Linked DNA regions of Bombyx mori. The protein of the gene in region 3 purifies or fractionates together with the protein of the main gene of each other region. This does not show direct contact. Links are inferred from orthologs where the notes say so. Each region holds a gene or a part of one and is shown on either strand. Other genes may lie near its edges. The genes, in order: coiled-coil domain-containing protein 6, AP-2 complex subunit sigma and ralA-binding protein 1.

The links.
Region 1: the proteins of ralA-binding protein 1 (region 3) and coiled-coil domain-containing protein 6 purify together in Homo sapiens (affinity purification with mass spectrometry; 3 studies listed by BioGRID and IntAct, counting the BioPlex papers as one, with this or other methods). This does not show direct contact. The link is inferred for Bombyx mori from reciprocal best matches to the Homo sapiens genes RALBP1 and CCDC6.
Region 2: the proteins of ralA-binding protein 1 (region 3) and AP-2 complex subunit sigma purify together in Homo sapiens (co-immunoprecipitation; 3 studies listed by BioGRID and IntAct, counting the BioPlex papers as one, with this or other methods). This does not show direct contact. The link is inferred for Bombyx mori from reciprocal best matches to the Homo sapiens genes RALBP1 and AP2S1.

The regions. Positions count from the first base shown.
Region 1 is NC_085128.1:8,921,138-8,932,055, reverse strand, and holds the end of coiled-coil domain-containing protein 6, read right to left. Parts: intron 9,460-10,918; coding exon 9,320-9,459; intron 7,874-9,319; coding exon 7,796-7,873; intron 6,489-7,795; coding exon 6,281-6,488; intron 4,940-6,280; coding exon 4,826-4,939; intron 3,564-4,825; coding exon 3,426-3,563; 3' UTR 465-3,425; downstream 1-464.
Region 2 is NC_085131.1:677,509-689,191, reverse strand, and holds AP-2 complex subunit sigma, read right to left. Parts: upstream 6,216-11,683; 5' UTR 6,036-6,215; coding exon 6,033-6,035; intron 5,956-6,032; coding exon 5,806-5,955; intron 4,390-5,805; coding exon 4,216-4,389; intron 3,032-4,215; coding exon 2,930-3,031; 3' UTR 2,098-2,929; downstream 1-2,097. Other genes in the region: putative phospholipase B-like 2, read left to right, coding at 777-873; hippocampus abundant transcript 1 protein, read left to right, coding at 7,451-8,890. UniProt on the Homo sapiens protein: Component of the adaptor protein complex 2 (AP-2). Adaptor protein complexes function in protein transport via transport vesicles in different membrane traffic pathways.
Region 3 is NC_085113.1:5,997,784-6,009,457, forward strand, and holds the start of ralA-binding protein 1, read right to left. Parts: upstream 7,668-11,674; 5' UTR 7,170-7,667; coding exon 7,085-7,169; intron 6,864-7,084; coding exon 6,725-6,863; intron 5,191-6,724; coding exon 4,992-5,190; intron 4,852-4,991; exon of another isoform or gene 3,876-4,851; coding exon of another isoform or gene 3,846-3,875; intron 2,739-3,845; exon of another isoform or gene 1,620-2,738; coding exon of another isoform or gene 1,530-1,619; intron 631-1,529; coding exon 414-630; intron 1-413. Other genes in the region: golgin subfamily A member 5, read left to right, coding at 9,918-10,341, 11,210-11,404. UniProt on the Homo sapiens protein: Multifunctional protein that functions as a downstream effector of RALA and RALB. As a GTPase-activating protein/GAP can inactivate CDC42 and RAC1 by stimulating their GTPase activity.

The DNA.
Region 1 (10,918 bases), on a different chromosome or scaffold from region 3:
GTAGGGAAAAACTATACAATTGAGACAATGGAGACTTTGAGCTGGTCTCTAGAATGGAGCGGAAGAATACACATATATCTACGCATTGTTTAGTTATCTTAGAAAGTAAGTGTCGAGCGGTACCGGAGTCTGTAACAAGTCCATAAACACCATAACGTGAAATTTACTAAAATTGCCCTCAATTTACCCTCAAATCGAAAAGCATGACTGATTACCCACTGAAATAGGCAGGAAAGTTCTACTCGTCCATGCTCAGTTTGCCATAACTTCTTTTTCTTGCCCTTATTCCACTGTGGAATCGGCGTAGCATGTCCTGTTTTTTCCATTCAGGCCTATCATATATCACCTCTGCACTCATGCCCTTGAGTGTGGAGAGTTCGCTCTCCGTCTACGCTAGACTTTAAGCACTTCTACCCATCGCCTAGTGTAGTCCACTAAATTAAAGGTTAAGAAAAACCCAAACAAAATATTTATGCGCATTATTTATTTTTTTATTATAACATGAAAAAAAAAGTTACGTGAATATTTGCATGATTAAGTTCGAGAACAAAATTCACTACTCCCACAAGTAAACATCGAACACAACAATTCCCTTGAGGGCACATTATAACATACATAACAATAATATTTATTTATCAATCATATTTTCGTTGTGTAGGAGTAGGATTCACCTCAAACGTGATGGTGTGCTCTCGATAACAACGTTACTTCAGATATTGTGTTGAACGCTTTTGAAACGTAATCCAATCACATTCCGTTTTCATTTTAAAAAAAAAATTTCAATATGCAAGATACCGAGAGCATTCCTATAAATTATGTTTTACAAATTATTATATCTTTAATAGTAAACACAAAGATATATTATTACACAGCCTTATAACATAAAACCCACTGCCGCAATTTCTTTAAGCCCGGATATATTTTGTTAATAATTATCTAAACTATCTAGGACTACGCTACGGAATGGGAATGTTGGCAAATTATTGGTACTGTCGATTTATTACGAGGTGTACGAGGCTCGCCCCGTAGCCGAAAGTAGTCGAGTATATTAGAAGAAAAATAACATTTATTATACGATTTTTTCGCTGGAACACGTGTTAGCAACGTCGTCAGTTTTAAGCCCCGTGAGCTCACCTACTAGTTAAGGTTACGCTGAAATAGCCTCAAGGCTATCCAGCTAACCAACAAAGTTCTGTGAATTATATTATGTTGCCAATTTATTTTTTTATTATTATTTATCATTTAATATTTGTGTCTTATTAACCGTTTAATATCTCTGAAAATACATAAGTGCAGTTAATATGAAACAAACCGGAAAATGTGGCTTCTTGGGTTCTTCAAACGAGTCCATCGTATTTTAATCATTTTACTGGGAGTTTATTTCATAACATCCCATCTCACTCATTCCATAATTAATTTCATACTAATCAACTTTGTTTCATTTCGTTCAAATATAGAAAAACCAAAATGTGTATGTAATGAAAAGAACAAAACTTAGCAAGTCCAGGCGATTTATGTTAATAAATAAATAAATAAAAGGGTGGAGTTCGAAGACCCTTTTCCGGAACGAAAATCTTTATTATCATAATGTATTCTTAATAAAAAAAAACATATAATATTTTTTAGGTTAAATATTAATTGATAATGTTTCATACAGTACTGAATTTATATTTAAATAAAACAAATCGTCGTTTGCAAATTTGAAATCTCTTATGTGTATAAATGTAGTTTTCGAGAAAATCTAATAAAACTACCTACTGAAAAAAAAATGCAATATTTTTAGCACATATATTAGAATACTTTGATCTACAATAAAATGCAAACTAACACTTAGGGTTTTTTTAAGATTGACGCGTAATAAAGTGAAATATTGTGATATGCACATTTAAGTTTTTGCTGAGTATTACCTATACTCAGCAAAGAATAGCTTTCACAATAATTATATGATAATTTATTTTTGGCGCAAAATTTCACATAAGAGATTTTAAATTTGCAACAACGAAATATCAAATTTAATATTGAGGGTACATATACAATCGGCCGTGCATAATGCTCGTCTGCTCCGACCTCGATACTAGCAAGCACAAACAAGTGCAAAATAGAAAGGGATAGAGATAGAAGGGGACAGAAAGTCACACGGCGGGCCGTAACGTTTTTCTCTTACGTAACGATTTTTATCAACTCCAAGAGCAAGCTGAATTAAGAAACTTCATTCCAATTATCACTATTAGATCATGAATATTTAATTACTAGCTTTTACCCGTGTCTCCATTAATATTTTTTTTCTAGATGATAGATAACTGTGCCCTTTTCTGTAACCTTACACATATGCCGAATGTAATGATAATTGGTTGCGTACTTAAGAGGTGAAAGCGTAACAAACAAACCAACTCACTTTCGCGTTATATACATTGATTAGTATGGATATTTACAATACATGTCGGAGTATGTCCTGTATCTGAACCATGGATCTCGCGCTTCAGGTCATTTTTATTATGTTGTATGTTACATCGTCTGCAATTTAACACTACTTAATTTATATTTGACCGATTTTTTTTACTACACTGTCCGTTATAATGTGTCAAAGTTAATGAAGACTACTCCAATACCTCAGTATTCAGTGGTGGATTTTAATTAACATGATAGTCTTTTATTTACAATTTAAAACAGAAACTGATATATTAAATTACATTTTAATGTAATTTTAAATTTTTCCGCCCAAAATACTCTAAGCTGCCTTATAACCTTAATTAAGCTACGTGTCTCAGAAGCAATCATGTTTTAGAAAGCAATACCGTAAAATCTCTTTATTTTTATTTATTAAGTGTATTTCATAAATTACGAACAGTTCTAATAATTTATCAACATTTCCATTGAAAAAAAGGCGACCATGGAGTCTTCATCACGTGTATTTTTTATTACAAATTATCGTTTTTGAATAATTTCACCAATCGTGGCCAACGCATAAAAATTGACAAATTTTACACAAAAATGGATTATACATATATTCTGAAATCAGAATTTTGTCATTCATAGGGTATAATAATAAAGCTCCAAGCGAATTAATAAATGGGAAATTGACGTTTCATATTTTTATTCGATTTATATTTCAATACAAATTTATAAATTCGAAACGCGACTAAGAAGAAGAAGTTTAAACGAACAACGTATATGTACTTTCAAAGAAATATGTAAATATATAGCGGATTCGCGATCGACGCGGGCAGTGAGCAATTTAAATTCGCGCCTTCAAACGGGCAGCGCTGTTCGAAACGTCACAAGTCAGCAAATGAGTTTACGTTCATCGCGATCAATATCAATCGAGGTCGAAGCGAGGCGGGACAACGCGGTAGGAATCAGGCTCGAGGAGGATTGTGGTTTCTTCGCGTTTGTAGACGCGTGAGGTCCCGCATCATACGGCGCGTTTAGTCTTTCGAGGAGGTGTCCATGGGACTGGCGGGCTGGAGTAGCGAGGGCGGCGCCGGCCCCCCCGCCTCCCGCCCCGGCAGCGGCGCGCCCGCCGGCACCGCGGGCTTCACGAACCTGTCGCTCGGACGACGACCCTGTGCCACGTAAATTTGTTATGTCACTAATACATATAATTTTGAAGTCGTCGTGGCCTAACGGATAAGACGTCCGGTGCGTTCGTGTTGAGTGATGCACCGGTGTTCGAATCTCAGGCAGGTACCAATTTTTCTGATGAAATACGTACTTGACAAATGTTCGCGATTGATTTCCACGGTTAAGGAATAACATCGTGTAATAAAAATGAAACCCGCAAAATTATAATTTGCGTAATCACTGGTGGTAGGACCTCTTGTGAGTCCGCACGGGTAGGTACCAACATCCCGCCTATTTTTGCCGTGAAGCAGTAATGCGTTTCTAAGGTCTCAGTACAACGGCTGCCCCACTCTTCAAACCGAAACGCATTAATGCTTCACGGTTGAAATAGGCAGGGTGGTGGTACCTACTCGTGCGGACTCATAAGAGGTCCTACCACCAGTAGCCCGTGCGGACTCACAAGAGGTGCTACCCCCAGGGCCTTGAAACTGCAATACTTTAAGACAATTTTTTTTTGTAGGGAAACTAGCGATGTCTTGTAGCGGATGCCCCTAAGCTTATATGTTGTTAAAGTTAAGGCATTTAATTAATGTATAACTAAACACAGAAAGTAAAAAAAATAAAAATCATGTAAGTCTTTGTTTATTATAGACAAATTGATTAAAATTTGTGATTTTTGAAAATTTACAACATCCTTCATTAAAAATAAAATATAGGATAGGTAAATGTTACTGTCATCTACAGGAGGAATGAGAAACTAATCGAAGCGAAGCCATCTAGTGGTCGACGCCCGTAAACATTTTGGTTGAGTGCTCGAGTTGCTTATCTATAACCTTTTTAAATTTTATTTTACTGCTTAAATGGGTGGACGAGCTCACAGCCCACCTGGTGTTAAGTGATAACTGGAGCCCATAGACATCTACAACATAAATGCGCCACCCAACCTGAGTTATAAGTTCTAAGGTCTCAGTATAGTTACAATAATTTTGCGGGTTTGATTTTTATTACACGATGTTATTCCTTCACCGTGGAAGTCAATCATGAACATTTGTCAAGTACTTATTTCATCAGAAAAATTGGTACCCGCCTGCGGGATTCACACTCCGTCGCATCGCTAGACACGAATGCAACGGACGTCTTATCCTTTAGGCCACGACGACTTCTAAAACCACAGACTAATTTATGTGTATTATCTATGGTCCTACCACCAGTAAATTATTACCTACGATGTGATGTTATTTTTTTGTAAACGGTGCTTACATACCTGTGCATTGAGGTGTAGTCCCGGGCGCAAACCGGCCCCGCTCGGTAGCAGGGGGGAGGCGTATGGCGACAGCGGGCGCGACCCGCCCGGCGACGACACGCTGCGTGACCGCGCCTGTATTGTAAACCCAACGTTCAACGGGCTAGTCAACTTGCGTTGTATTTAACAAACTAGCGACCCGCCCTCGCTTTGCTTCGGAAACATTAAATTGCATTATTGATAGGCGAAGCCCGCCATGTTGCGCGCGGTACGACAATAACTGCGGGTGAGGCCGCGGGGCGATGCTATTCTAAAAAAAGTAGCCTTAGTTACTCCTTATATCATCAGCTACCTGTCAGTGAAAGTCCCGTCAAAATCGCTGCAGCCGTTTCAGAGATTAGCCGGAACAAACAGACAGACAGAGAGACAGACAGACAAAAATTACTTCTAATTTAATTTAATTAAAATTACTTCTACTAAAAAATTAATTTCAATACTACAAACAGACACTCTAATTTTATTTATATGTATAGATTAAATACCGAAACTTTAAAATTTAAAATTATTTTTAAACTATAATTTTTTCATTATATTTTTTGCTACATTTTAACACTAAAAGTCCGACTGGCTGGGCTTTTGAGTTTTTGAGTGTTTGGTGTTTGGGGGTTTTTGCGAAGAAGATATGGAAATGATGTTAACATTGAGGTGTATGAGGTTTTAATAGAAAAGCGACACAATAACTAAAATAAAACAAACTGAGTTGAGAAAAGATAAGATTTACAATATTTTGCCGGTCGTCGTTGCGCGCGCCTAGGGCACGTGCTTTCTGGCTCAGAGATCTCTGTTTCAGCTGGGGGTAAGGCGGCGGCGGGCGCGGTATCACACGTTCGAATATTTGGTTCCGTTATATCATTTTATTACCACTGGATAAAAAAATACTCACGAACGAAGTCGCAGTTACCGTTAGGATACCATGATGAATTTATTAAAAATGTGTCTTGCATAAACTTGCACTTGCAATAAAAAAAATTAAGGGATTTTATGACCTGGTAGCTAAAACCTTATTTCAAGTCTTATTTTAATTTTAATGAAAACTTTTATACGTGAAAAATTATATTATGAAATGAAATGAAATTGATTAATATGAAACATGGCATGAAATGAAATGAAATGAGATGAGATGATATGGGATGAAATATAATCTCAGTAAAATGGTGGTCATTTACTGAGACTTTTTCAGTGGACTTTTTGGAGGATCCAGAGATGTTACGTTCTGCAGCTTTGTTTCATTTTCGCACATTTGTGCACTTTCCCGGATACTAAACAGTTAATAAACCACCATTATTACACATTTAAACCTGAAGAAACACTAAATAGACAAAATAAAACAAATCACAAAACTTCACTCCTCGTGTTCCCGTCAAAAAGTCCACTTGCAATAATAATAATAATAATAATAATGAACGACGAACTCACACCGAAAGTTTCATTAAATTGCCTTTCTTCTTCCATCTCCAGCGAAGACTCGCTCTCGGACAGATGGCGACATAGCGCCTCGCGGCGTTCCACCTCTTGCTGGAGTTTCCTTTGCAAACGCATATTTTCTTCCCTAATGTGTTTTTCTTCTAAAGCAAACCGATGCATCTTCTCTTTATTTTCATTCTGTGACACCGCCAACTGATTTCTGTAAATTTAAGATAACGTACACATTATTACAGGTTTTAATGCAGTTTGTGTGCTCACAGAAAAACAGAGCATAAATAACTAAGGCTGAATAACTAAAACCTCTATAGATAGAGCCGGCAGTGATTTTATGGATATATTGCGGAAAAAGAACTGGCAGTATTAATATCGAAACCTTTACCTTCACTTATATAAAACTAGTTTTTATGTCATTTACTACTGGTGACAAGGCGTAATGTAAGCTCGCGCGGGTACGTACCGCCGCTGTATCTATCTCTGCCGCGAAACAGTGCACGAGGTCCGTTTTTAAGGATGGGTCATCCGTTACACTAAACAATTGAGACTTCGGTTTCATATGTAGTCGGGTGGCGGCATTCACATTGTGATGTTTACAGTCTCCGATAACAGCTGAATATCAGGTGGGCCGGGAGAGCTTTCACTATTATACGCAATATAAAAAAATCGAGTTTAAAACTCATTTAGCGCGTACGAATAATTTCTATACTGAATTGAAGTAATCGCACGTGAGGTTTAGATGTATGAACACAATAGTAGTACAGCGTCATTTTAGTGTAAATTTGATAAACGGATATAAATGAAAATCTATTCCATTGTATTTTGAAAAAAAATTATAATAGTAAAGACATTCAAGCTGTAAAAATGGAAGACGAAACGAAGCCTTGCTTTTATTCTTTTCATTTTTTTCGAGAATTGCGTTTTATTTTCACGCTTATTATATTAAACCTGCGAGGAAAAATGCTCGAACTCATGTTATGCCAAATTGTGTAAAAGATGGTCAGTACATTGATCTATGGTTTTTCAACTATGACAATCGGCACTGAATAGATTTACGAGATTTTTAACACCTATCAACAAAAACACCATATGCTTTTAGTAAAATTGCGTTGACACGGCTCGAAAATATGAATAAAATTATGAAGTAACTTAAAGACTATGTCTATGACCTTTAAATATGATAGCGTCATGTTTAAAAGTTTTTTTTTTTGTATTGACGGACTGCTGATCTCACCGTCCATCTCGTGTTTCGTTGGACAGAAGTCCATAGACAATGAAAGCTGTCGGCCACATCGAAATAAAAGTGGAAATCGCAATACTGTTATAACAAGGCTACCTTATCCTTCAGACCGAAACAAACATGTAGAATAATGGTACCCATTCGCGACGGCTTATGATACGACCTAAGCCATTATACAATAACTCGGGCTAATGGTGTTATAAAGTTACAGCGCCTGCATAAGTTACGTGCTAATTAGATAACATTTTGATGAATGTAAATGAAATTTTTACCTTAATTTGACGACCTCAGAACGAAGGGTCTGGATGTGATTGCTGAGATTAGATGCTGTGTCACCATTACTAATGTCCCTAGCAAGAATATGCATTCATTAATCGTGACAAACATGTTTAATTACACATAAACAAAAAGATGTGATATAATATACAGTGAACAAATATAGATACAATCTCTATGCATTATGTTAATTCAAAACAAATAATAATATGGTTTACTTTAAAGCAAAATTATTGGGTATATTTAATTGAATAAGCTAATAAATAAATAAATAAAGAAATAATAAAATATGAAGCTTTTATTGTATTGTATTATTATAATTCAAGTTATGATTGAAAGGCAATCAATCATGCAAAGTAAATCAAATTAATAAACAATTTAAAAAACACTTTAATTGTTTAATATCCAGTTCATTTTGATATACAATTTTTCGGTTGTTTCAATTAACACTTGGAACTTTTTAAAGAAATTGGAACTTTTTAAAGAAAAATCCTAAGTTCAATAAATAAACTAAACTCAAACATTTTTGGTTCATTGTATGCAAAAGATTAAATAGGTATAAATTTCCAAAACATATTTTACGGCACGTAACACAGATTATGTAATGTTAACAAGCTTCAGATTGCTTTCTCACGAAAAGTGGATGATGCCCATAGATCTGGTCAGCCAGATCGATTTAGAAGGTGGAAATCACAATACTATTGTAATGCGGCTACACTACGAAGAATGTAGTGAATCAACAAATCTGTTCAGAAGCAATATCATAATAACTGTTCAGCTACATGGTTACCTTATACCCTGTACTCTCAGTAAGAGGGTAGATAAGGGTCATGAACATTCGACTGCAGCACTAAGCATAATGTTTCTCTTTATTGCTTTTACCTAACTCATATAATATTGGGCTTTACTGATTCTACCATCCTGCCTGATAGATGAAAAATGTAGGTGGGACAATATTGAGTCAACCTTTCTATGACAAAAGTATAGCCAAATGAACACTACTAAAGTTAACTACAAAAAAAAATTCGCCTTAGGATATTTAATTTTGATATCCCTTGGTTTTAACTGTTTTAGTTGTAGTTACAATAGAGATGTTCTTTTGTGGAAAATTAAGAAATGTTCAGTCGTCGCTAATACATAATTTGTTCAGTATTAGTGAGCATTTGTAGTTGTATTGGTGCTGATCTCAATCTATAACGGGCTATAGCTACAAATCAGGTTGCCATTTTAATGAGATATATATATTGGAGGCGATTTGGCTTGTTTCGAAAATATCAGATACGTTTAACGCTTCGACTTCTTTTTGTTTAAAATGGTATAATACATATTAGGTACTAATTGGCACAACGAATAAATGCAAATGTTGACAAAAAAAATTTGGTCATATAAGAAAACAGTAAATATATGTATTCGAAGCATTGAAATTGTAAGACATATAATTAAACGATTAAAGTTTTTTTAGTCAAGAAACTTTGTAAAATACAATGCATGTCTGTTTATAATTATATCAAGATTTTCACCTAGGACTTGCGGGATCGGAAACTGGTTGATCCAATCTTATCTGCAGCGAACGTTTTTCAGCCTCTAGCTTGTCCATTCGCTTCCAAAGTCTATTCACAAGCGCTTCTTGCTCTTGTTCTAATGTATTCTCTAATTCAACCTGGAATATTTTGTTGAGAATTAATGTTTAAGTTTATGTTAATCTTCTTGAGCAAAATAATTTTTCTAAGCAATATTCCATACATAAAACGTAAAATGGTGCACAAAGGTACGTAACTCAGGGCTAGGCTCCAACACAACATCAACATAAAGTTGTGAAGCAGGAATTTAAAGGATGTCTAATGGTAATTGATGGCATCAAAAAGGTATTAGTGATAGTTGTGTTTCAATAGTCTAATCAGTAAATGCAGACTAATTTCACATTTGATATAAGACTGACTACACAACTAGACACTTCAAACTCGACCTTTCTTGCTAATTCATTAATTAGAGGTTTTGTGCTGTAGAATTAACAATAACTAGAGGTCCCGCAGTAGTCGAAATTCGACTATAATTAATTGGAATTGTAAGTTTGTACACTATTATGATTGTATTTTATACTTCTACTAGCTGACCCGGCAAACGTTGTGTTGCCTTAAATAAGATTTCTAGGGAAATTCTACTGTAGAAAAAAAAACCTCATTTAACCACATAATACCTCATTATAAACAAAAAAAATATATCCAAAAAATTAAAATAAAAAATAAATGTTTGGGGTGGACAACCCGTTTCACTTAGTGGTATGAAAAATAGATAGTAGCCGATTCTCAGACCTACTGAACATACTATTGATACACAAATAAAACCAAAAAAACATGGCTGAAAAATGTATAGTATTGTATAGCTCTCAAATATATTAAGTGTATAATCTATGATGTATAGTGAGTAAGTAGGACAGGAGACCGGCTTCGTCCTCATCCCTACTACGTGATGTTTGCTGGATGAGTGGTGACTCCTGGCGGGGATCGATTGATAGTTGATTAGTAGTAGACCGGCGAGGGCGGGAGATCAAATTCAATTAAAAAAAAAACATAATTAAAGGAACTTGAAATTATAAACTCTGAATAAGAATTTATCGTCCTACAATTATAATATTTGATTGCCATCTTGCAACCCTATTGCCGATCTGTGCATAGAATATAAAAAAATATTAATCGGGATGGAAAAATAGGGGTTGATCGTATAAGAGTGAAAATTGAGAGTAATGTGATTTTTTTATTTTAAGTCATTACAAAACAAAATAAAAAACTTGTCAAAAAAATTAAAGTTTATAATTAACAAATAAAAAATAGGGGTTGATCATAGAGGGATGAAAAATTGAGAGTAACATCAGATTTTTTATTTTAATTCATGACAAAATAAAAATAAAAATGAAAATCTTGCCAAAAAAATTAAAGTTTATAATTAACAAATAAAAAATAGGGGTTGATCGTAGAGGGGTGAAAATTTCAGAGTAATATGAATTTTTTTATTCTACGTCATGACAAAATAAAAACGAAATTCTCGCAAAAAATTTTAAAGTTTTTAATTAGCAAATAAAAAATAAGGGTTGATTGTAGAGGGGTGAAAATTTAGGGTTG
Region 2 (11,683 bases), on a different chromosome or scaffold from region 3:
ACAACCATTAAGTAATACAATTGAGACATTGATCTCACGTCTTGAGACGGGTGTAACAGTTAAGTGTGCTTAGTGCGAGTTTTTTTAACGTTTTCGATAGCGTAAAAGTTAACTCAAGTTTGTTGGAGTTGAAAAGTTTGCGTACGTTTGTCGTTAGGGGCGCTGTTTCAATTGCATAAAAATTTAAGTTAACTTTTACGCTATCGAGAACGTTAAAAAACTTGCACTAAGCACACAGATCGGCCAGCGCGCCCTTCGAACATACCGGACCTCCAATTATTACGAAAATAAATAAAAACTGCGGGCTCTTTAATGTATGTATGTATGTTATTATGTTAGTATATAACGGAATCTTTGAACATGCTTTTGACCCCCTTCAAAACGAAATTTTGTAAACTTATTAAGGACCGATGACAACTCAATATTTAAAAAAAAAATGAAAAAAAAATATTAAAAAAATTGAAATTCAACTAAAAAATGAGAAATAAGTAATTTAAAAATAATTATTATAAATATTTTATGAACAGATATGAGTACAAGGGTTATTTTGATAATATCCTGAAAAGCACCCAACCCTTTTTTTCAATAAAATCATCTTTTCTTACACTATTTTTAATTCAAATTTATTCAAATTTATATTCTATTATTTAGTTGGATTTTCTATAAAAGCGTATTTTGTTAGTTTTTTTAAACTATTATTTATTTCTTCTTCTTCGTTGAAGTAATTTGTGAATTTGAGGCACATATTCGATTATTAACAAAATTGTTGATTTCAGTTGGAGTAAGTTCGACATGGGTCCGCAGATATCTCACGTGGGCCACCCCGATGTGTGGATGTTCCCACCCTTGCTCCACCGCTGGGAGTGGGGATAGTCTCACGAACAGTCAACAGTAACGAGCTGCTTGTATTCTGAATATACATACATGTTTTCGTTGAAAGCGCACTCTAAATTAAACTCTATATCTATATGGCATAAGATGAATGTTTAATAACAATAATAAACATTATTTAATAATAAACATAATATTTTTAAAATCAGTAACATAGCACTTTAGAACTGTATGTCTATTATAACTTTATTAAATCGTTAGGAATAATCAATGTTTTGTATTTTTTTTAATTTAATAAACATAGATTTTGACTGTATTGTTTTATTTGGTCACCGGCAGTGGTGATCGTGCCGTATTGATATACGGGTAACTCTATATTAGATCTCGAAGTGATGCAAGCGATTCCAATAACACAAAATATTCCTGCTCGTGCATCGACCGGATTTTCATAATCTGTGTAATAATTTTGACACAGAACTTTATCCACAGACACAACGCACTGAGTTTCTCGCTGAATCATCTCAATGGGTCGCGATTCCGATCCGGTGGTAGAATCTGCGAAGCACTGCTCTTGCTGGCCAGTGTTACCAAATTCTCTCAGGTTGAGCCCGTGAGCTCACCTACCTGTCCAGGGCGTAGCTGGTATAGCCCCTTAGGGCCGAGTCACACCGGAATGGCAGTGGCCTGCGTCGCCGCTGGCGGCCTCGCGCGGCCTCCAGACTGCACGCGCCTAGTCTCCTCTTGACTAGTTTAGTTTCTTCATTCGGCAATGATACTCGTGTGTTTGTAGTTAACATGATGGAATTGGTCATTATATATGACTGTGGTGTCGCGAGCGGCCTCGTGTCGCCGCTGGCAGAACGTCCGACAAGACACACGTGGCGCGCGGGTGTTCGCTTCACCGTGGGCGAGCGGCGGCTGTGTCGCGAGCTTTTCAAGCGATACTGGTCTTTTAAGTATACAGACAAAGTTTAAAATTATTTCACACTGAAAGTGCTCGCCGCGACGCTGCTGGCCGCTGCCATTCCGGTGTGACTCTCCCCTTAGGCTACCAGTAAACGGGTAGGAAAAAAAACAACTTCAAGTAATTTCAAGCTTGTAATTTCGTTAAAGTTAGGGTACTCAAATATCTCATATTATCTACTAACTTGACATTTCCACTAATTTTTATCGTAACCAGCCCATTCCTGGCCTATGGCCAAACGGCTTCACGCCGGAGACCGGTCGAGCGGAGGAAAATAAAAAACAAAACCAATAAAACAATAATTTAAACCATTCTATATATTTTAAGGAATGACAAAGTAAAGTAGGTAGTGTATAAATTATATTCACAATGACAACACTGATAAAATAATGTTAAAAACGAGTGTTGCTATATTATGTACATTGCTCTAATAAAAATTTCATTGAAGCTTTTTAAGTATAAAGTCGTGATAAATAATCAGATCTTAAATTCAGAAAGCCATTTGATATTTACGCACATATATACAAAATAACATTAAAACATTTGAAATCTTAATATGAACAGTATATTTTAAAGATTTCTTTAACAATTATTAATTTTGAATACACATTTTTTGAAATATCTTGGATTAAATATACCTGGGATTTTATATATTAACCACATGATCTCTAGCAAGCCTCTGAAACATGGTCGACATTTCAATTGCTTTCACACTGGAATGCAGGACTGCTTTGCAGCGTAGCCAGGCTGGACGACTATACACATCCTGGTAGAGCCAATAATTTTAAAAACAAATCAATCTACAAATCGAAGAATACCGTTTATTGTTGTATGTAACAGATTTAATGAAGGTGCTGTCAATGTTGCTACGTTGGTGAATGACCAGACGTCGCCTCACCATACAGTACTCACCACTGAACTTGCTGAAATAAGTGCACAGAAGAGGCATGTGAAAAATGATTTCAATCGTTTTTTACTTATAAAACTTGTTATCGATACAAAAAATGTACATTACTTTTACGTTAACTCACAAGTTATTCGGTATCTATGTAAAATAAAAGCTGATTAAAATTTATAAAACAAAATAACATAAGCTTACAAGAACATATTATATACTAAGAATAACACAAATACTTATTCTAAGGAGTTCAGCATCAAGAGTTGTTTGAGCACTTTAGTTTGGGATGTCTCCCTGATCTCACCAGCCAAAAACATTTCGTCTACAACCGTATACACCTGAAAGAAGACATACAGTTTATTGTTAAACTTAATTCGAAATAAAGTAAAAAAAAAAAAAAAATAAAAAAAATAAACAAAGTTCGCCGGGTCATCTAGTTCGAAATAAAGTAAGGTACGAGAGAGATATATAAGACTCTATGGGGTGGCACCTATTTCTACAGTGAAACGAAAAAAAGACAACGTTAGCATCAGCTCATCACATACTCCCATGTTTTGGTGAATTTAATAGTACATTGTGCACCAAGGGAGAAAAGTTGGACATTTCCTCCCGCGTGTAAAATTGGCATGCCATTGCAATGGCAAACACGCGAGATGAGATGTCCTACTTTTTTCCTGCAGTGCACATACTATTTTTTTCTCCTACCTACGCCGAAAGTTCGGTTTTCCTCCCGCTGTACAGGGAAGAAAGTGTAACTTTTCCTCCCTGGGTACTGACAAGTGCGCATGTGCGTTAGTGTCTACGTCTGCTCTCACGCACCTAAAATTCTTCGCCATTGTTGTGCTCGGGTAATTTGCAATATTGTGTTTAGTGTAAAAGTGAAATAAACAAAAGGCAATAAAATTTAATAGTGAAGTATTAAGCAAAGATGAGTTCATCAGACAGTTCTTATTCAATTAGTAGTAGTTTATTTAAAAAATAAAAAACAGGAATTGTTTTTTTTATGAGTGGGGGGCTCCGCCCCCCCACCCTCTCGCCAGGGCCTCGGCCCTGGAACTCGGTTCGGTACTCCACGGGTGCTAAGTTTTTTACAATGTCGAACTTTCGGCCTGGTAGGAAAAATAGTACATTGTGCACCAAGGGAGAAAAGTAGGGCATTTCCTCCCGCGTGTAAAATTGCCACCCGAGCCGAAGGCGTGTGTGGCAAACACGAGGGATGATCTAATCAATTACAATTTGCTCAAAGAAATTTTTATCAACTTTACAACTACAAAATACGAACAGAATCGAATTTAGCTTTAAACATATCAAAACATGCAAAATGTACCCTTTGATGACCACTTTACCCCAATCAACCTTGTCAAAAATAGGTACTTATAACATAAGCCACTTGAAATGTATTAACAACCCATCTTGATTTTAAAAATTTCTTTCTTTTATCTATTAAATATAACACAAAATAATTGACAGCAGTTTTAAGAATGTCCACATTAAATATAACAGTTTATGTATTTCCACTTACTTTATAAAAATTGAAGACCAAGTCCAACTCGCAAACATTATGGAAATATTCATTTAGGACCTCGACAAAGTTATGTATGGCCTCGAGATAACACAAATTGTTATCATTTACATCGACACATATACAGAAGTACAGACCTGCATACCTCCTGTATACTATCTTGAAATTTCTGAACTGTAAACAGAATAACATATCTTTGTATATCTATACTGTAGAAAAGAGATATTGTTGTATTGTATGAATTTCATATGAATAGTTTAATATTCAATAAAATTATTAAGCTATTGATAGGTATTATATTGATATTAAATATATAAGAATTCTCAAAACCAAGACAGACAGAAGTATTAGGAACTCCTCACAGGATAACTAATATTTTGCAATGTAATATATGTAACACATCTTTGACAAAATATAAACCCACTAGAACAACAAAAAATGTTTTCGGTTGATTAAAGGGTGTTATGTTATACCCAAAACAGTATAGAAATAATTAAATCCTGTATGTTACTGACATAATAGCACTCTTGTATAGATAGATATCTGACAGGTGTAATAGCAGCTTCAAAATGTGTATTGAAAATAATAAATTGAATAGTTGACACCAACACAGTTAACAGCAATATGAAAATTAAATAGAAAGAGTAAGTGGTAGACATTAGATTATTTTTAAACAAACATTGTAGCATCTTATAGGTAATTTTTTCAATTTTTATTTATAGGCTGATAGACAGCCCACCTGATGGTTAGTGGTTACTGTTACTCATTGACATGGATACAATGCCAGGATCACAACCAATTCACTGCCTATAGCTGAGTACTGAGAAAGATGTTACAGCACTCAAGCAACACTGAGAAGAGAAGTTAATTCCAAAGTTAGATGATATTTGGGAAAATATTCAAACTATTCCTCATTGTACTCCCATGGAATGCACAGTATAAAACAAGGACAACTGTAGTTCCCCCACAGTGCCTGTTTTCCAAGCGGTCAGACTGGGATTATCGTCAATCCAAACAGCCTTCTTCTGTATGTAGTCAATGGACATAGCTGATATTTGGGAGACTCAGCTCAAAGATAGGAGCAGTACTCCACACCAGACCAGACTTAGGGTGTTGTAAAGAAAAATTATGTATCCAGGCATGAAGTATTGCTTCTCAATGTTGAGGAATACCAGCAATTTTGATGCAAACTTATAGTCAAGAGTTTCCAAATATTTTCAACAAAACAACAATTACTGTACAGAATACAAATGAAAAAGAAGTTCTCAAAGATTCTCAGCTTGCTACTTTTTAGCATGTGTAGCATGCAAGGGAACTGTTCCAACCACTTCAAGCAGTAAAAAAAGCTGTTTTTGATTATATTATTAACCATCTCAGGGAGGAACGTAATTGACCCTAGTGACTCCTGTGCACACTCAATGCAATTATACATTTAATATTACTTTAACTATACTCTTTCATGTAGTCTTATATTGATTAGTATGATTTAATCTGTATTGTTTCCAAGTGACCAAGGATATCTTCAAGGAGTTATAGCAGACAGAAAGCTTTAGGCGGTCATTAATGATAAAATAGGCTTTATAAAGTTACCTCGACAAAGTTCGTGTGTTTCGCGTCTCTGACGGTGACGACTGCATGCACTTCTTCTATCAACTTCTGTTTTTCGTCATCATCAAAATTCATATACCATTTCGCAAGTCGAGTCTTGCCTGCTCGGTTCTGGATCAAAATGAATCTTATCTGGGAATTTAGAATAATTTTTAATTATTACACGCAAGTAATGAACTAAATAATATTTTTTTATGAGATAAGTATACCATTTTCACGTTTAGTTATGGCTTTTTTTTTAAATATTACTTTCAAAGACGGGTTGACGCCTCCTTTTTTTAAAACTAGTAATCAGAAATCTTTATCTGAAATTCAGTGATTTCAACTTTGACAGCTACAAAATTCAACCTTCTCCCATTCAGTGCACGGTATTATCTATGCTACCATCATACTTCTCAAATACTATGTGTATTATCTATAATCATACTAGCAGCAGTGTGAAAAATGTCAAGAAATCGTAGATAGACTAACCAGATACCTACTACATTTAAATGAAAGGGAAAACCTTGATAATCTTGAATTTAGTTGTATTTTATTACTTTGAGATATTCTCTTTGTTCTGTACGAACTTTTTATTTTATTGACTATTATGGAGGACTATCTTGAGTACTACTTGGTACGTAATCACAGTAAGCAATTGATAGCAAAGAATAAGCTATTAAGTAAAAAATTTGGTAGTTGCATTTACATTTTAATTTAGATATATTTGCGCAATGTTTTTTAAACTTTTATTCAAAGAAAATTACATCACGAGAAGATATATGTCTATGTAACTTCTCCAACGTAAAAGTGTCGAGTTTCTACTGGTAGCTTTTGGAACTAGTGGCAAAAAAACTTTTTATTTTGTAGACTTTAATAGATATGAACTAATCGGTCAATGAAGCCCGTTCTTGAGGAATTGAAACGTATTGGTATTAAATAAAAAAATATCAGTCAATCACAATTGCAATATTTACTAAAAATCTGTACATATATAAACTGTATAAAAATAGAGTTAAGCCTTATAAATAACTAGACATGCGCTAAAATGTGGATTGCATGCAATATTCAGATCGATCAAATTACTTCGAGGATAAAGTATTATTTTCCTAGAAGATTTGAAGATGAATTAAGGCATTACCCACGAAATATTTCGGAGTATCAACTTTTCATTTTTTTTTAATTACTTCGTTGGATAGCTGCGTTCACAGCCCACCTAGTGTTAAACGGTTACCGGAGCCCGTAAACTTCAACAACTCAAATGCCGCCACCCACCTTAAGACATGAGTTTGAAATCAGTTTTTACAATACAACGGCTGTCCCACTCTTCAAGCCGAAATTCATTATTGCTTCACGGTAGAAATAGTTAGTGCGGGCTCACAAGACGCCCTACCACCAGTAAATTATGTTTCATTTATCTTCTCTAATCTGTCCAGGCTACGCCTATTATTGTATTTTTTCGACCGTTCTTTAAATTTTTTTACTCTAGCAACAAAATTATCGAATTGTTTTTCAATTTTCCAGTAAAATTTTGACGTTGCTACAACTTGCTCGTTCATATCTAGTTTTACCAATGTAGAGCTTAAGGTTTTCTCAAAATGTCCGTAATTTAAGTAACATCTATTTATTTAAACGGAATACATCTTAAATGACGCCCACGAAGACCACTAAAACCGAAGTAGAAATGGTGATACGGAACAGAAAAACAGTTATGAAAGACGGGATAATGACAATGTCTGGAATCGGCGAGCCTTCTGTTTTTCACGCTCTGGTCGTTATTTTTTTGGAGTTTTTCGCGTGGGGCTTGCTCACTATGCCGATAATATCGGTACTGAACGCGACCTTTCCCGACCACACGTTCCTGATGAACGGATTGATCATGGGAATCAAGGGCATACTGTCTTTCCTCTCCGCGCCACTCATCGGAGCCCTGTCGGACGTGTGGGGCCGCAAGTTCTTTCTGTTGGTGACGGTATTCTTCACATGTGCCCCGATCCCGCTCATGACTATCAATACCTGGTGGTTCTTCGCGATGATCAGCATCAGCGGAGTGTTCGCGGTCACGTTTTCGATAGTGTTCGCGTACGTGGCTGACGTGACGACCGAAGCGGAGCGGTCTCGCGCGTACGGCCTCGTCTCCGCTACGTTTGCGGCTAGTCTAGTCATATCACCCGCTTTGGGTGCCTACCTTATGGATTTGTATGGAGAGTCCCTCGTCGTGGCTGCCGCTACCGCTGTTGCTGTACTGGACGTGTTCTTTATTATGGTCGCGGTGCCTGAGAGCCTCCCAGAGAAAGTGAGACCAACCGGCTGGGGCCCTGTCATCAGCTGGGAACAAGCAGATCCTTTTGCTGCACTGAGGAAAGTTGGTGCTGAGCGCACTGTGCTCATGCTATGTGTGGCAGTATTCCTCTCCTATCTGCCTGAAGCTGGACAGTACTCATGCATATTTGTTTACTTGAAACTAGTGATGGGTTTTGGTGTAGTGCAAGTGGCCATATTTATTGCTATTGTTGGTGTTTTGAGCATCGGAGTGCAAGTTATTCTTGGATTTTTGATGAAGTCTCTGGGAGCAAAACACACAATAATGGTGGGACTATTGTTTGAGATGCTGCAATTGATGTGGTATGGATTTGGCAGTCGTACGTGGATGATGTGGGCTGCCGGTGTGTTAGCCGCACTTGGTTCCATCACATACCCAGCGATCAGTGCTTATGTGTCAGTAAACAGCCGTGCAGACCGACAGGGAGTTGTACAAGGCATGGTAACTGGAGTCCGTGGACTTTGTAATGGCCTGGGTCCAGCCATGTTTGGAGTAATCTTCTATCTCTTCCATGTAGATTTAAATGAAGGTCATAACAAAACTGGTAGGATTCCTGAAGAGAGGCATGCATTACTGGTTCCTGGGCCACCATTCGTTTTGGGTGCATTACTCGTCATTTGTGCATTGCTGGTGACCGCTTTCTTACCTGAGGAGGATTCAAATGGAAGACGTGCACCAGCCGATCTCCGATTCGAGATGGAGCGTGGGCGGCGTGTTGCTGGCCCTCTGTCTCCGCTCATGGCGCCCGAATCAGCAGCACTCTAGCCGGCGGTCCAGGCGGGGCGCGCCGCCAGCGTGTAACTCGCCGACGCTCCTGTGAGTGAACTCCTGTGAGTGTTTCTTTACCAACCTCGACATATTGCAGGGCTCCTACGTTACGGTAGAGAGTTGATCAGCTTAGTCTGTTGCGTGTTTCCTAAGCTTTATATGAGTTAATAAAATAAATGAAAGTGAACTTAAAAACATGTGAATAGTTTAAGTCACTCATAAAATTTGAGCATTTATGATTATGAGCTGAGCATCACATGATTAGAAGCTGAAGTATTTATTAACTTTAAGTATTTGTGTCAAAATGAGTAACGCTCAGAGCTGGTAAACATTATTTAAGGTGTTGTATGTCCACAGTGGTTGAACATTATTTAAATTGTCATGCCATTGTCGTATATGGTGCACGGTGTGATAATTTAAATTATATGCAAAGCATATAAATTTAGTATCGTAAGGTAAAGAAAAACACAATCTTCTGTATGATATGTCCTGTCCAATTTAGTATTTTATTATGTGTAAAAGTAAGTAATTAATAGTTGATAAATAAAAAGCTATATTTTAAAATGTGATTGTGTTAAATTTTGTGACTATTGTGTTGTCTTTATTGTTTTTGTGTTGAAGTTACCGGTAAAAAATGTTTTTGGTTCTGGTTGTGATTATAACTAACATTTACAAAAATAAATTATGGCAGGCTTGAGTGATACTTTTAAAAATAAAATTGTGTAGGTATTGCACATTCTCTTACATTTTCATAGGATGAGAAATATTTAATTTTAAACCTTGCTTCTATATTATTTTGTGGCCATGAACTTTTTTAAATAATAAAAGAGAGTAAAGAAATTAATAAGATTAGCTTCTAAAAACTATTATTGATTGTAAAAAAATATCATGTCATGTGTGCAAAATTGAACAGAATAGTTTTTCTATAGCAAACCAGAAATATGACATACACTAATATGAAAAATATATTATTTCTCAAAGCTAACAATGGTATACAAGTAGCCATTGTCTGGATAATGTCATCACCCAAATATCTTTCATCACACCCCATCAGACGTTAGTGTCTGATTGCAATATATAGGCTCCATAACACACTGGAGTCACTATCTTTAACGGCTAAAATATATTAAGCATTTACTGTAATGTTAAAGATATGTTTGACTTCATACCCTCTGAAATGTAATCGTTTTCAAAACCTTAGTGGCTCATTATCATAATACATTTAAGTTTTCAAATATAAATAATATAAATTAGTATTCAGTATCTTAACTTTTTTTAAACAAGAATAATAATAAAATATTTTTCTCGACTTTTCAAATACAGTTTTGTGGTTACAAAAGACTGATAAAACAAAAAACATATTAACTTCCTTGGTGTACTAACTTAAGGTAGTCTTGACCTTTGGGTTACAGATATGGGCCCTCGTTGAGGCTCTGATCAATGGAGGGCCCAAAACAGCATGCTTACAAATTCTCCATCTATCATTATCTGTTTTGTTCTAATCGGAGTTAGAAATAACTAAAAATTAACTTTTTAATAAATAAAAAATTGTTCAAATATTTTCAGTTTGCAATTAATTACAAATTAATGATGTCATAATGTAAGCATGTACGTGTATTTATGTAAGCCAAAAACACGTTCGGAAATAATACACATAATTATAATCAGATAAATTTTAAGAATGGATGGTTGCTTACATTCGAATAAATAATTTGTATGAACCAACACGGAAAACAAAAGATTCGCAATTATTCTGTATTTATGCATATTATTTATGTAAAATTTTAATTATATTTCAATAGAATCACTGCAACTATGCATATTGTTGTATTCACTTGTGTATCCAATACAATATGTAGCTTCATCAAATCCGAGGGTCACGACCGACCTGGTTTGCAGTAACAATACTGTTGAGTCTACGTTATTATATTCAATTAGCGGTCACTCCTAGCTCCCCTAATAATGACAGGCCTAGAACTTAGACGCACTACCTAGAATGGCTTGCACGACGATACGTAGACACGAATACCGCGTTTGTATTTAAATAATAGGTTATTCTTATTAATCCGGTTATTTCAACTGTTAATTGGAACTAAGCATTCAAACGCGAGACAATAAAAAATATCGAGGCATGATAGTTTAAACATCAATAATATTTGCGTCTCTTGGTGGTAGAACTATGCCCGATCCAACGTATACAAAAAAAGCCTTAAAATTATTAAATCGTATTATTTCTGGTGGCTCGTCTCGTTTAAAAACTTAAGCTGGTTTTATTGCTAACAACAATCCTGGAAATCTTAGTCGAAATAGTCTGAGTCGGGCCGGACATTTCTTGTGCGTAACCTTATTACTGCGCTACCCTACGTTTTATACCTGTGATACATATTTAGGTTTAAAAGAATACGTGGAGACAAATGTTGACTTCATGTTCTGGAACATGTTGTGGTAATGCCTTTTAATATTTTGGGATAGATATTACAATATACCAAAGACCTGAGTCAGAAGAAAGGCCCTAAATTCAGTTGCAAATAGTCACAACGTCAATAGCGTTTACGAAATTATCATTTCCGCCCAGAAGCAGGAAAATATAATTTAACTCCAAAACTTCGTTTATTTTCACTTTCTCGGCATCAGGGTCAGCGCAACATGCATCCATGTTGTGGTTTAGTGAAGCCTACTATCGGTCCTCTCTCAGAGTGGTAGTTTTGAATTATGGCTTTGGATGCGCCAATCGATATCAGAATTTGTGAGAGTATTAAAGGACAAAATTAAAATGAAAGCACTACCTAC
Region 3 (11,674 bases):
ACAGAGACAGAGCACAGTAAAATTCAAATGTTTGAAATTCATGGTTGAACAATGTCAATTCGTGGCACTAAAGATTGAAAAATTAAAGAGCTACTTTGACCCACGCTCGAAACAAAATCGCGTTTTGTTCACTTTTGTCTCGAAGCAAAAGCGGTATGTTTGAGCCGCTGAGGTGAAAATATTATTTACTAGTTGTTACCACCTAACCTTCGTTAAATGAAAATGTTAGAGTAGTTTACCGTGGGAATTAATGCTTTTCGGAATAAAGAATAGTTAGTATATGGTACTCTCATAAGTCTCACAAATAAACTCGCTTAAAAAAAGACATGTCATTCCATTATTCAACGTGAAAGAAGGACAAACAAATACACAAACACACTTTCACATTTAGTTTAGAACAAAAAGGTTCCTACCTCCCAATGTGAAAATTTCTTCAAAAGGAACACCTGATGTCACCGTTGACTGTATTTTCGTCAATTTCTTGTCTTTTTTATCTTTGTCTTTTTCCTTCACCTTTTCTTTCTCTTTCTCTTTGGACTTTTCCTTATCTTTGTCCTTTACCTTTTCTTTTTTCTCGTCCTTAAGTTTTTCTCTAGATTCAAATTTGAATTTGGCCTTCTCTTCTTTTTCCTGGAAAATTAAATCATTTCTCTTTGTATGTCTCTTTCGTGTCGCGATTGTTACTAACAAATGTTTGAAGATTTATTCTTCATTGTTGGTACGTATGAAATAAAGCTATACGCATATATTATGGTTCTACTTTCGCTATTAATTTCATTTAATTGATGCCGCTGCGAACATGCAAGCGAAGATAATATCTGTTACTTCAGTTGTATTGTATTGATTCGTCTTTATTTAACCTACCACTTTTTATTATTAATTAAGTTATAAATAAAAAAAACAAGACCATAAACTAGGGATAGTCTATTCCAAGCTAGTCCTCGTGATAATATAAAGTATCTATACTAATATTTGTTTGTTTGTTTGTATTGAATAGGCTCCGAAATTACTGAACCGATTTGAAAAATTCTTTCACTGTTTCGAAGCTACACTATTCCCGAGTGACATAGGCTATAATCTTTTTTGAAAAAAAATAGGGATCCTTACTAAAACTCCAATAATGTAACCCAAGGTGTAAAAAAATTACTTAAAATATTCTTTACATCGCATGCCCTGCGAACACTATTGATGATAGAATAAAATAATGTAACTACGACTTTGTAGAACACATTATTATTTACAAAATGTGTCGCGAAAAACATATGTCTGACTATTATAGTTATGCCGCAATAGGTGTTCTTTTATAAAAAAAATAAAACGTCAAATACCGTTGAAATTTTTGTTAAAAATCCGAGCGGAGCCGGAGCGGTCCGCTAGTCGTTCATAAAACTTTGGGAGGAAAATACCACAGAACGGGAGATGTCAATATTTGATTTGTGTACTAACTACTTTAGGTATTAAGATCATAGTTATTATATACTTCACGAAACAGTAAGGTGAAATTAATGTATTTTCAGTTTTCTACGTACCGTGCGTAAAGATATTAAACACACTTCGAAGATTACAACTATATTTACATACATATCGACGCTTGAAAGGCAAACGTGACTAAGCGGCATTGCGTGAACTTTACAGTAGACTAATTTAAAGTTGAAATCAATTTAAAATATACTTAGCTGTAGGCTATAATCTAGCTGTAGGATTGAAATGATTTTAATAGACCTAGAAATATATATTTTTTTGCGCATCGAATATGGTTATTGCCTATCATTTATGTACAAAGCAGCTATTGTCGCTTAGTCACGTTTGCATTTCAAGCGTCGATTTGTATGTTTGTATAGATACGACGTTTTGTAAACTGTAAACAACAAACAGATAAATATGTGCAACGCATACAAGATACAAGGCGAGATAAAAGAAATTCTTCAATCAAGGTTTAGCTCATTTATCTAAGCCGCGATAGTCTTCACATATATGCGTTTTACGTTCAACTAAATAGTACATAATCATATAAACGTTAAATAGGTGACCTAGTTTGGTCTGGATTAACATCTGGTTCTGACATACTCAAATCTCACCTAAAATAAATAACTTGGTCTGTTACTGGATTGGGTTGTCGACGGCCTATATTTAAACGCACACGCGACTCAATTGCATTTTGCGTTCCAATCGATCGCGAGATCGCGGATTCGAGACGAGACCCGTATCGTTAAGCCATTCGATTTCACTGAAAGTCAACTCTGGTAATGTGGACCTAACGTTTTTATTTTATTTTATTTTATTGCCCTTGTAGGCAGACGAGCATACGGCCCACCTGATGGTGAGTGGTTACCGTCGCCCATGGACTTCAGCAATGCCAGGCGTAGAGCCAAGCCGCTGCCTACCGCTTAATACTCTCCACAAGCCTCTTTTACAGAAGGACATGTCATAGCGCTCAGGAAACACCGTGGAGGGGAGCTCATTCCATAGCCGGGTGGTACGTGGCAAAAAATACCTCTGGAAACGCACTGTCGATGAACGCAGCGGTTCCAGATGATATGGATGAACTCTGCTCCGATGGCGGGATGTGCGATGATAAAAAGGAGATGAGGGGATCATCTCAAACTGACGTACATATAATATTAACAAAGACGCCGTTTGGAGCCTGTTGGGAGTCGTCAGTAGATGATATATTAGTTTGAAAGATATTTGCAATTTCGCCAAAATGGAAACACGAACACATATTATGTACTATACCCAGCAAAGGTGCACGGACAGATTCAAACCAAAACGGAAAAAGAGAAACGGCGTGTTCAAGCGAATATAGACCTTAAGGTGGTGTCCATGTACTTGTGCAGTCGTCTGTACATATATCAAACAAATGCATTTCTTTCGGTTTTGGTTTTCTACTTGTTATTTTTTTTAATTTAATTTTTTTTTTTTTTTTTTTTTTTTATTGCTTAGATGTGTGGACGAGCTCACAGCCCACCTGGTGTTAAGTGGTTACTGGAGCCCATAGACACCTACAACGTAAATGCGCCACACACCTTGAGATATAGTTTTAAGGTCTCAGTATAGTCACAACGGCTGCCCCACCCTTCAAACCGAAACGCATTACTGCTTCACGGCAGAAATAGGCGGGGCGGTGGTACCTACCCGTGCGGACTCACAAGAGGTCCTACCACCAGTAAACAATAATTCAATAAACAACAACCAGAATTGATTTTCATTTTACTTGAGTGAGCGTAGCTTTACGAAATAATTGCGAAATATTATTTGTTATTGCAAACAAAATTCTGAAGTCACATTATGATGACATACATTAAAACACCGGACATTAGACTAAATATATATCTTGTTTGTTTAAAACTTGTTTGTTCACTGATAATCTTGTGTTACGATAAAATAAAATGCAGGTAACTACACAAATTTTCCGCGGATATTGTTCTAGGACACAAATGTCTTTTCGAAAACATTACCGATATTTGACGTTCAACAAGTATGTACTTTCATTTATGTTGAATAAATTTTTTTTTGATTTTTTTTGATTTGATTTAATTAACTGTGCAATATTTTTAACACTGATATTAATTAAATTTAACTTATCAAGTTAAGTTTTTAAGTAGGTAAGTACTACACATATTTCACTTTCAAACACCAATGACGGACTTTAATATTTTTCAATAAATGCACCGACAGTTGATTTATAAATTCATTTTACTGTCTGTTTACGTTTTCATTTTTATTCATTTTATGTAGCACTAATTTCGATATCTTTATTAGAATATTAAAAACATGAAGTAAATAAAACATTAATAAAATTTCCGCGTAACACACAAAAGTTTGTTTAACAATCGATTTTGTACCTTCGTAAACACGCTACGTAGGTGATGCATGACGCGATTTCAAGATACAACTGAATAAACCATGACACGACCACATCCATCCAAGGCCGAACACCTACAACCTTTATAATTTTCATAGACCCACGTGTACTAATGACGGTCTCGCTAACCAAGTGTCAACGCAAATTGGCCAGCGTATAAAGGCAACCGCAAAATTATGCAAAAAGGTATCAAGCGCTGAAGCGCGAAAATGAAACATTTAGTATTGAGTAAATAAGATTGAATATTTGAATAACAAATAAAGTGAATGGTACTCTCAATATAAAGTCATTTCATATTGTACAAATAAATATACATATTTTTTTTTAAAGTCGGATAATTATGAGTTTATTATCCCTTTTGGCAATAAGGTGGTAACGAATTATTTTAGAGTAATGAGTCACGGTATTTCGATGCATGTTGCAAATATAAAGGATATTATTTAGCCATTTTGTGCAGATTGAAGACTAGTTTAAAGTCAAGACTGAATTCGAAGGTCAGCGGTTTGCCTGTGTACCTGGTGTTGATAAGTCAATATGGGATGCTAAAAACTACGCATAAGGTGGGCTTCTTGGCAAATTAAAGAGACTTAATATTAAAATTTTATTTTTATGCGTTCACAAACATTAGTCTATGTGAGTTGAAACATAATACGATCATTGGCAATTCAGGGAAATTTCTGTTTGTGCCATCAAGGTCTATTCTGTTTGATGCAATGGCTGTAAATCAGTAGCGTGGATAATATCTACTGATATCATTAACCTGCACTACTACTGTATCTTAAATAGATTGGAATAAAAATATAAATAACTGAGCTATTCATGTCTTTTTCACTTTATTTTTCGGTATGAATATTCACTAAGTTTTCTTCTAATACTGACAACATGTCCTTCTTTATGGTTGACGAGGGTCCTCAGTAGAACGCCAATGAGCCAGGGTGATTACTCACAATTAAATTAGCCATGAGTGGTCCATGTCAACTAACGTTTGACAGTCATGTTATGCTTATAGAAAGTTAGTTAGTTTCTGGAAGTTGTCAAGATGGTCAAGTCATGGTTGGAAGGGTCAAACAGCATTATTACCGTGTATTAAAACCATATTGTTACGCATTAAAATTTATATTATTACCTTATCTTTTTCTTTCTTTTTCTCCTTTTCCTTCTTCTCTTTCTCCCTTTCCTTTTCTTTTTTCTTATCTTTTTCTGTTACTTCTTTATGTTTAACTGTTTCTTCTAAAACTTTTTCTTTATCTCGGGATTTTTCACGCTTTTCTTTGCTTTTGGTTGGGAACTTGAATGACTTTGTCTTCTTAGATTTCGATGGACTTCTGTTGGATTAAATAGATATTATTATCATAAATACTCACGCAGAATATATATACAGAACAAATGCTCTGTTATTGTTATATTATTAACAATTTTATGGTTAATATAAATAGTTATTCAAGTTGACGTCCCATATCTTGTTGACTGGTTAATGGAGCCTGTGGTAATGAAAATGATGTGGCTTTCCAAGGTCTGTCAATATATTGTGCAACTCAGGGGGCCTTTCCATCAACAATTTATTAAAAGATGATAATTAGACATAAAGTATGGAGTATGACTGACCAGGCCTAGCAATCAGGTCATTGATGTCATAAGAAGACTTTAATTAAGTATTTTACTACAGTTTGTTATGCATGTATATGTGTATTCGTGACTATTTTTACCATAGTCAATAATTTATGTCATAATACAGTAATCCCCTTATAACACATACTCTTAAAATAGGTGATTTCAGTCTCTCTTATAACACGGGTATTCCAGCATATAACCTGGGGATTTCACATATTATATTTCAGTCCTGTGAAATTTATAATGATTTGTACATTATAATATTTACTCTACATTATCATATGATTCATTACATCATAATTAATTTCAAGTACCATTGCCCTTTTTTTTTATTGCATAGAAATGTAGACAAGCTCAAAGCCCACCTGGTGTTATGTGCATTACTGCTTAGCAGCAGATATAACCAGGGCGGTGGTACCTATCCGTGCAAACTCACAAGAGGTTCTACCACCTGTAATAAGTGTGTCAATTGTGTTGTTACAAAATAAAGTATAATTTGTTTATTAAATTTGTGTTCCTAGTTTTAGAATTGTAAAAACATTGGTTATATTGTATTGTATTTCTATGTATATTAAATTTGTACATAACATGTTATATGTGGTCATACAAGTGCATTATGCGAGAATTATATTACTGGTGGTAGGACCTCTTGTGAGCCCGCACGGGTAGGTACCACCGCCCTGCCTATTTCTGCCGTGAAGCAGTAATGGGTTTCGGTTTGAAGGGTAGGGCAGCCGTTGTAACTATACTGAGATCTAAGAACTTATATCTCAAGGTCGGTGGCGCATTTACGTTGTAAATGTCTATGGGTTCCAGTAACCACTTAACACCAGGTGGGCTGTGAGATCGTCCGTACACCTAAGCAAAAAAAAAAAAGGATTCTCCTACAAAGACGATGAAGCACAGTCAAACATTGACTTTTTTATTTTCTACAGATTTAAACAAATCATATTATCACAGCCCACCTGTTGACTATTTAACTTTTTAGACACTACAAGATATTGCTGCACACATTTACTCATAAAATCAATCTAATCTTAAAAAGTATATTACTCGGGAACTACTGGAGTATATAGATAAGGAAGGATAAGGAATTTGGCAGCATTAGTAACAAGGTATGCACTGGCATTTTGTCATTAGATTCTCGAAGCTGTTCATATTATTCTAATGTGTTTCATTTGTTTGAAACCAGGACTTCACAACTGAGTGTGAAAATTGAATTTTAAGTTACATTTCTAATGCACTAACTTAGTATCAGTGTCTTCTTCAGGTGAACTCTCTCCTTCCAGTGCTGCATAACCTCTATCTTTTTTAGATTCTTTCTTCTCTTTCCTGCGTCCTAGCAAGTCTTTCTTACTTGGTTTTTCGTGTTCTGCACCATCGCTAACTATAATTTAAAAAATAAATATGTATCAACAAGTTTCGATTATTCGCAATTTAATAAAACCGACTAAAAGAAATAGACACTTATGTTATTGAGTTAAAGATTTTTACCTTGTTATTGTAAAAATATCCTTTTCATTTGATTTAGTTTAAAAACTTCGTAATAGTAGGGATTTGTGCTTCACAATTTTGGGTAAATTGTGTACAAAAACAGATAATACTTACAGTCACTTTCATTGCTTTTACGTCCACTTTCTGAAGCGTATAAACCGGGGAAATCCTTTTCAACATCTGGACTTTCAAAATCCATTTTTATTGGTATGTCACTTTGTTTTAATAAGTCGTTTATTTGTACATATTTTCGTTTATTATTATATTTTTATAAATTATTACAAAATACCAATATATAATACACTACACTTATGTGTATAATCTATGCACTACACAAACAAACACATAATTTCGTTGGACTTTTTGGCGGGAACGCGAGGAGTGAAGTTGTGTGATTTGTTTTATTTTGTCTATTTAGTGTTTCTTCAGGTTTAAATGTGTAATAATGGTGGTTTATTAACTGTTTAATATCTGTGAAAGTGCACAAATGTGGGAAAATGAAACAAAGCTGCTGGACGTAACTTCTCGGGTTCCTCCAAAAAGTCCACTGAAAAAATCTCAGTAAATGACCACCATTTTACTGCGATTATATTTCATCCCATATCATCTCATTTCATTAAATTTCATCCCAGTTGATTAATGTCTCAAATTAATCATCTTCATTTCATTTCACTCCATATTATCATTTTTCATAAAATTAAGAAAATAAAGTAAAATAAGACATGACTTAAAGGTCTTAGTTACCAGGTCATAAAATCTCTTAAAAAAAATAAATATTTTCGTTTATTTTGTTCAGTTCGACAGGTAAAGGGAACGTAGCCCACACAGTCTCAAGGAAGTAATGTAACCATTAAAATAATATTATCTTCTTAGAACTTTTCAGGTTTTTTAAACAGAGAGAAAGTAAGTTATATAAAAATTAACCCGTCTTAAATAAAATAATGTAAATATTAAATATTCAGTGTATTATCCATGCACTGTACCTAAACATACCTGATAAAATGTTTGAACAATGGTATTTTCGGTAACAAACTTAACAGAGCAGCGTAAAATAATATTTTAACTTCCGTCTTAGAATTTATCCTTATAATCTTATCAAATAGTTACGAGTGTCGAATAAATCGATCTTTTTTTTCCTACCTAAGCTGAGAGCCTTGAGAGGCTATATCGGCGTAACCTTAACTAGCAGATGAGCTTACGGGGCTCAAACCTGACGACGTTGCTAACACGAACCCTAGCAAGAGCCGTGCATCGCAGAATCTACCACCGGATCGGAAACGCGACCCACTGAGAAGATCCGGCGAGAAATTTTTTATGAAGTCGTCGTGGCCTAAAGGATAAGACGTCCAGTGCATTCGTATCGAGCGATGCACTGGTGTTCGAATCTCGCTGGCGGGTACAAATTTTTCTAATGAAATACGTACTCAACAAATGTTCACGATTGACTTCCACGGTGAAGGAATAACATCGTGCAATAAAAATCAAACCCGCAAAATTATAATTTGCGTAATTACTGGTGGTAGGACCTCTTGTGAGTCCGCACGGGTAAGTAACCACCGCCCCGCCTATTTCTGCCGTGAAGCAGTAATGCGTTTCGGTTTAAAGGGTGGGGCAGCCGTTGTGACTATACTGAGACCTTAGAACTATATCTCAAGGTGTGTGGCGCATTTACGTTGTAGATGTCTATGGGCTCCAGTAACCACTTAACACCAGGTGGGCTGTGAGCTCGTCCACACATCTAAGCAACAAAAAAAAAAAAAAAAAAAACCCGTGTCAGATAGCTCATTAATCGAGGAAGGCTATAGGCTATATAACATCACGCTAAGACCAATGCAAGCGGAGCAGCAATAAAGAATGCTTCTAAATCGTGGTATTTTCCCTTTTGAGAGGTTCTGCTGCATGCGCTGCGGAAATGGTTAAAGTTACGCTAAAATAATGTATGACAAAAGTGTTCTCTTTTAAAAGTTAAAAAAAAATTCCGTAACAGCATATGTGTATATTTAAAGGTTGGCTCACTATTACGTTTTTTATGCTAATCAAGTTTCTTCTAAAATAAAGCATTATTTGTGAAGGTGTTTTTATAAAGATTATATTAATCCCTATCCAAACAAATATGTTATTCATTACAACATTGAAACACCCAAATCACTTCAAGATAGGCTTTGACAATTATAGATTTTTCTAGATTTTTCCAGGATCCTATCATTAAATCTTGATGAATACAGGACCATTCGGGAAGTATACCCTTTCGAACAAAAAAAGAAAAAAGAATTATCAGAATTGGTTCAAGCATTCTCGAGAAATCGGTGAACATACATAGATAAAAAATTATGGTCGAATTGATAACTTCCTCGTTTGAAGTCGGTTAAAAAGCGTGATTTTGGTACTTTAAATAGCTCTTTAACATTTTCTATTATTCAAAAATATTTTCACTTTCTACTTAAATGAAGAGGTGGGTATAATTTAGCGTTATGCCAAAGTAACTACTCCACGCTAACGAAGTCGCGGGCAAAAGCTAGTATTCACATGCAATTGATGCGTGTTGCAATTGATGCGATTGGGCAAGTTACCTTTGCTCTCATGTGCGAAAAAACGAAAAGATCAAATTGACATTAAGTTTTACGTGTCTAAATAATGCTCTAAATTGTTTTCTGATAAAATTTAATTTTAACACAGCTTACTTAAACAGTATTATGGATTTTATAAACAATACAAAATTTACTTATTAAACACACTACAGTTGTGATCGTCATGACTGTTTATGTTCTTCATAAATTATCACTAAAAACGAGACGTGTAAAACTGCGCAAAATTTGGGTACATAAATCTCGATCAGTCTCTGTTTTGTAATTAAAAATATAATAATTATGTAATCATCGCTTCGAATTAAGATTATTAATAATTTACTGTGCAGAAAAATTTTCAGGCTTTCAAAAAATAAATTAAAATGGCTTGGTTTGCGGACTTAGCTGGAAAAGCTGAGACACTTCTTAATAATTTAGACGAGCAAACAGGAGCAGCCCTACGCAATCACAATGTTGTGAAGGCACGTAAACAAGAAAACTCCGATTTTATCTTACATCCAGACCCTTCCTGGAACCAAAGAAAAAGGCCAATACCACGAAATTTAAAGAAAATTTCACCCGTTCCCGAGCCACGTTCAAATTACACTCCTGCTCGAAAGATTTCTCCTATACAGAATTTGAATAAATCTCCTGTAAAAGGCAATCAAGAGCCAGTAAGAAATGGAGTTGTAAAAACGAAGAAACCCTTAAAAAAATCTAACCAGTATACCTTGGACAACTGTCCTGATACATTAGTCTGTGATACTAAAGGTAGCAATACTGACCATTTTGGTTTGAGGCAAAGAAGTAAGTATTTTAAATTTGTTAACGTTGGTTGCAAGTTTCTGCAATTAAAAATAGTTGGAGATGCTGGTGACAATAAAATAAATAAATAAAATTTTTTTCTTATTTTTAATTTTTTTATAGGTTAGGTTGGTGGACGAGCTCACGGTCCACCTGGTGCTAAGTGATTACAGGAGCCCATAGACATCTACAATGTAAATGCTGCCACCCACCTTGAAACATGAGTTCTAAGGTCTCACACTTTTAATGGTACAATGGCTGCCCTGACCTTCAAACCAAAATGCATTACTGCTTCTTGGCAGAAATAGGCAGGGTGGTGGTACCTACACTTGCGGACACAAGAAGTTCTACCACCAGTAAACAATGGATGATCTTCCACAGAGTGGGTGATATTGCTTGGTAGACTGGTGGTCTAAATTGAACCAGCAGTGTTTTGCTTAAGAATGGTTGTGCATTAAAATCAGGCAAAAATTGATATAGGAAGCTACTTTATTAATCCCATCAAGACTAGAATTAATAGCATTTGTCCATGTTAATTAGACAAAGTATTATTTTCTTGTTTCTTAGTGTTTAAAAATATTGATTAACTGTTTCATATTTGCTGTTTAATATTTTTTAAATCAGCATAAGTCATAAGCTCCATACGTGTTAGAAAAATACATAATAGGCCTTCACAATAAATGAAACATTAATGACTTAAAGAATTTGGTTGAAAAGTCATGAAGAAGTCATGGTCTCTGCTTCTTACTATATGTACACAATGCATATAATGTATTCATTTAGTATTGAGCTAAATCAAGATAGTATACCTGCAATATTATCATTATTTCCTTTTGATAAACTATAAACCCAATTAAAACATTGTCCTCAGGACATAGTTTGCCAGTTGACCTAGAAATAGTAAGTGATGAAGAATGGACGTACAGAATGCAAAATTTGGAAGTTGAAAATGTGATGTTGAAAAATGAACTCAATGTGTTGAATAGAGAAGTCGCAGATTTGCTTGAGAAACTCCGCAAAACACAGGATGGTAATAAAGTAGAGAAAGTAGCTAATGGTCATGCAGGTATTTCAATTTAAACAGCTTCATATTAATTGTTTTATGTTCTACAAAGTGTGGAATAATTAATTTTTTTTTGCATTGATTGGAAATTGTGTATGTATGCTTTGTAGTCAATTATTTGAATTATAGAGACTTACAAGTCTTAAATTGGTGAATTCTGTAACTTTAATTTATAATAAATTTATGAAATTGATTTGTTTGTGAAATAAATATGCTTATTTCTCAATATTCTTTTATAAATTGATATACAGTATTACTAATTATTGTTTGTAG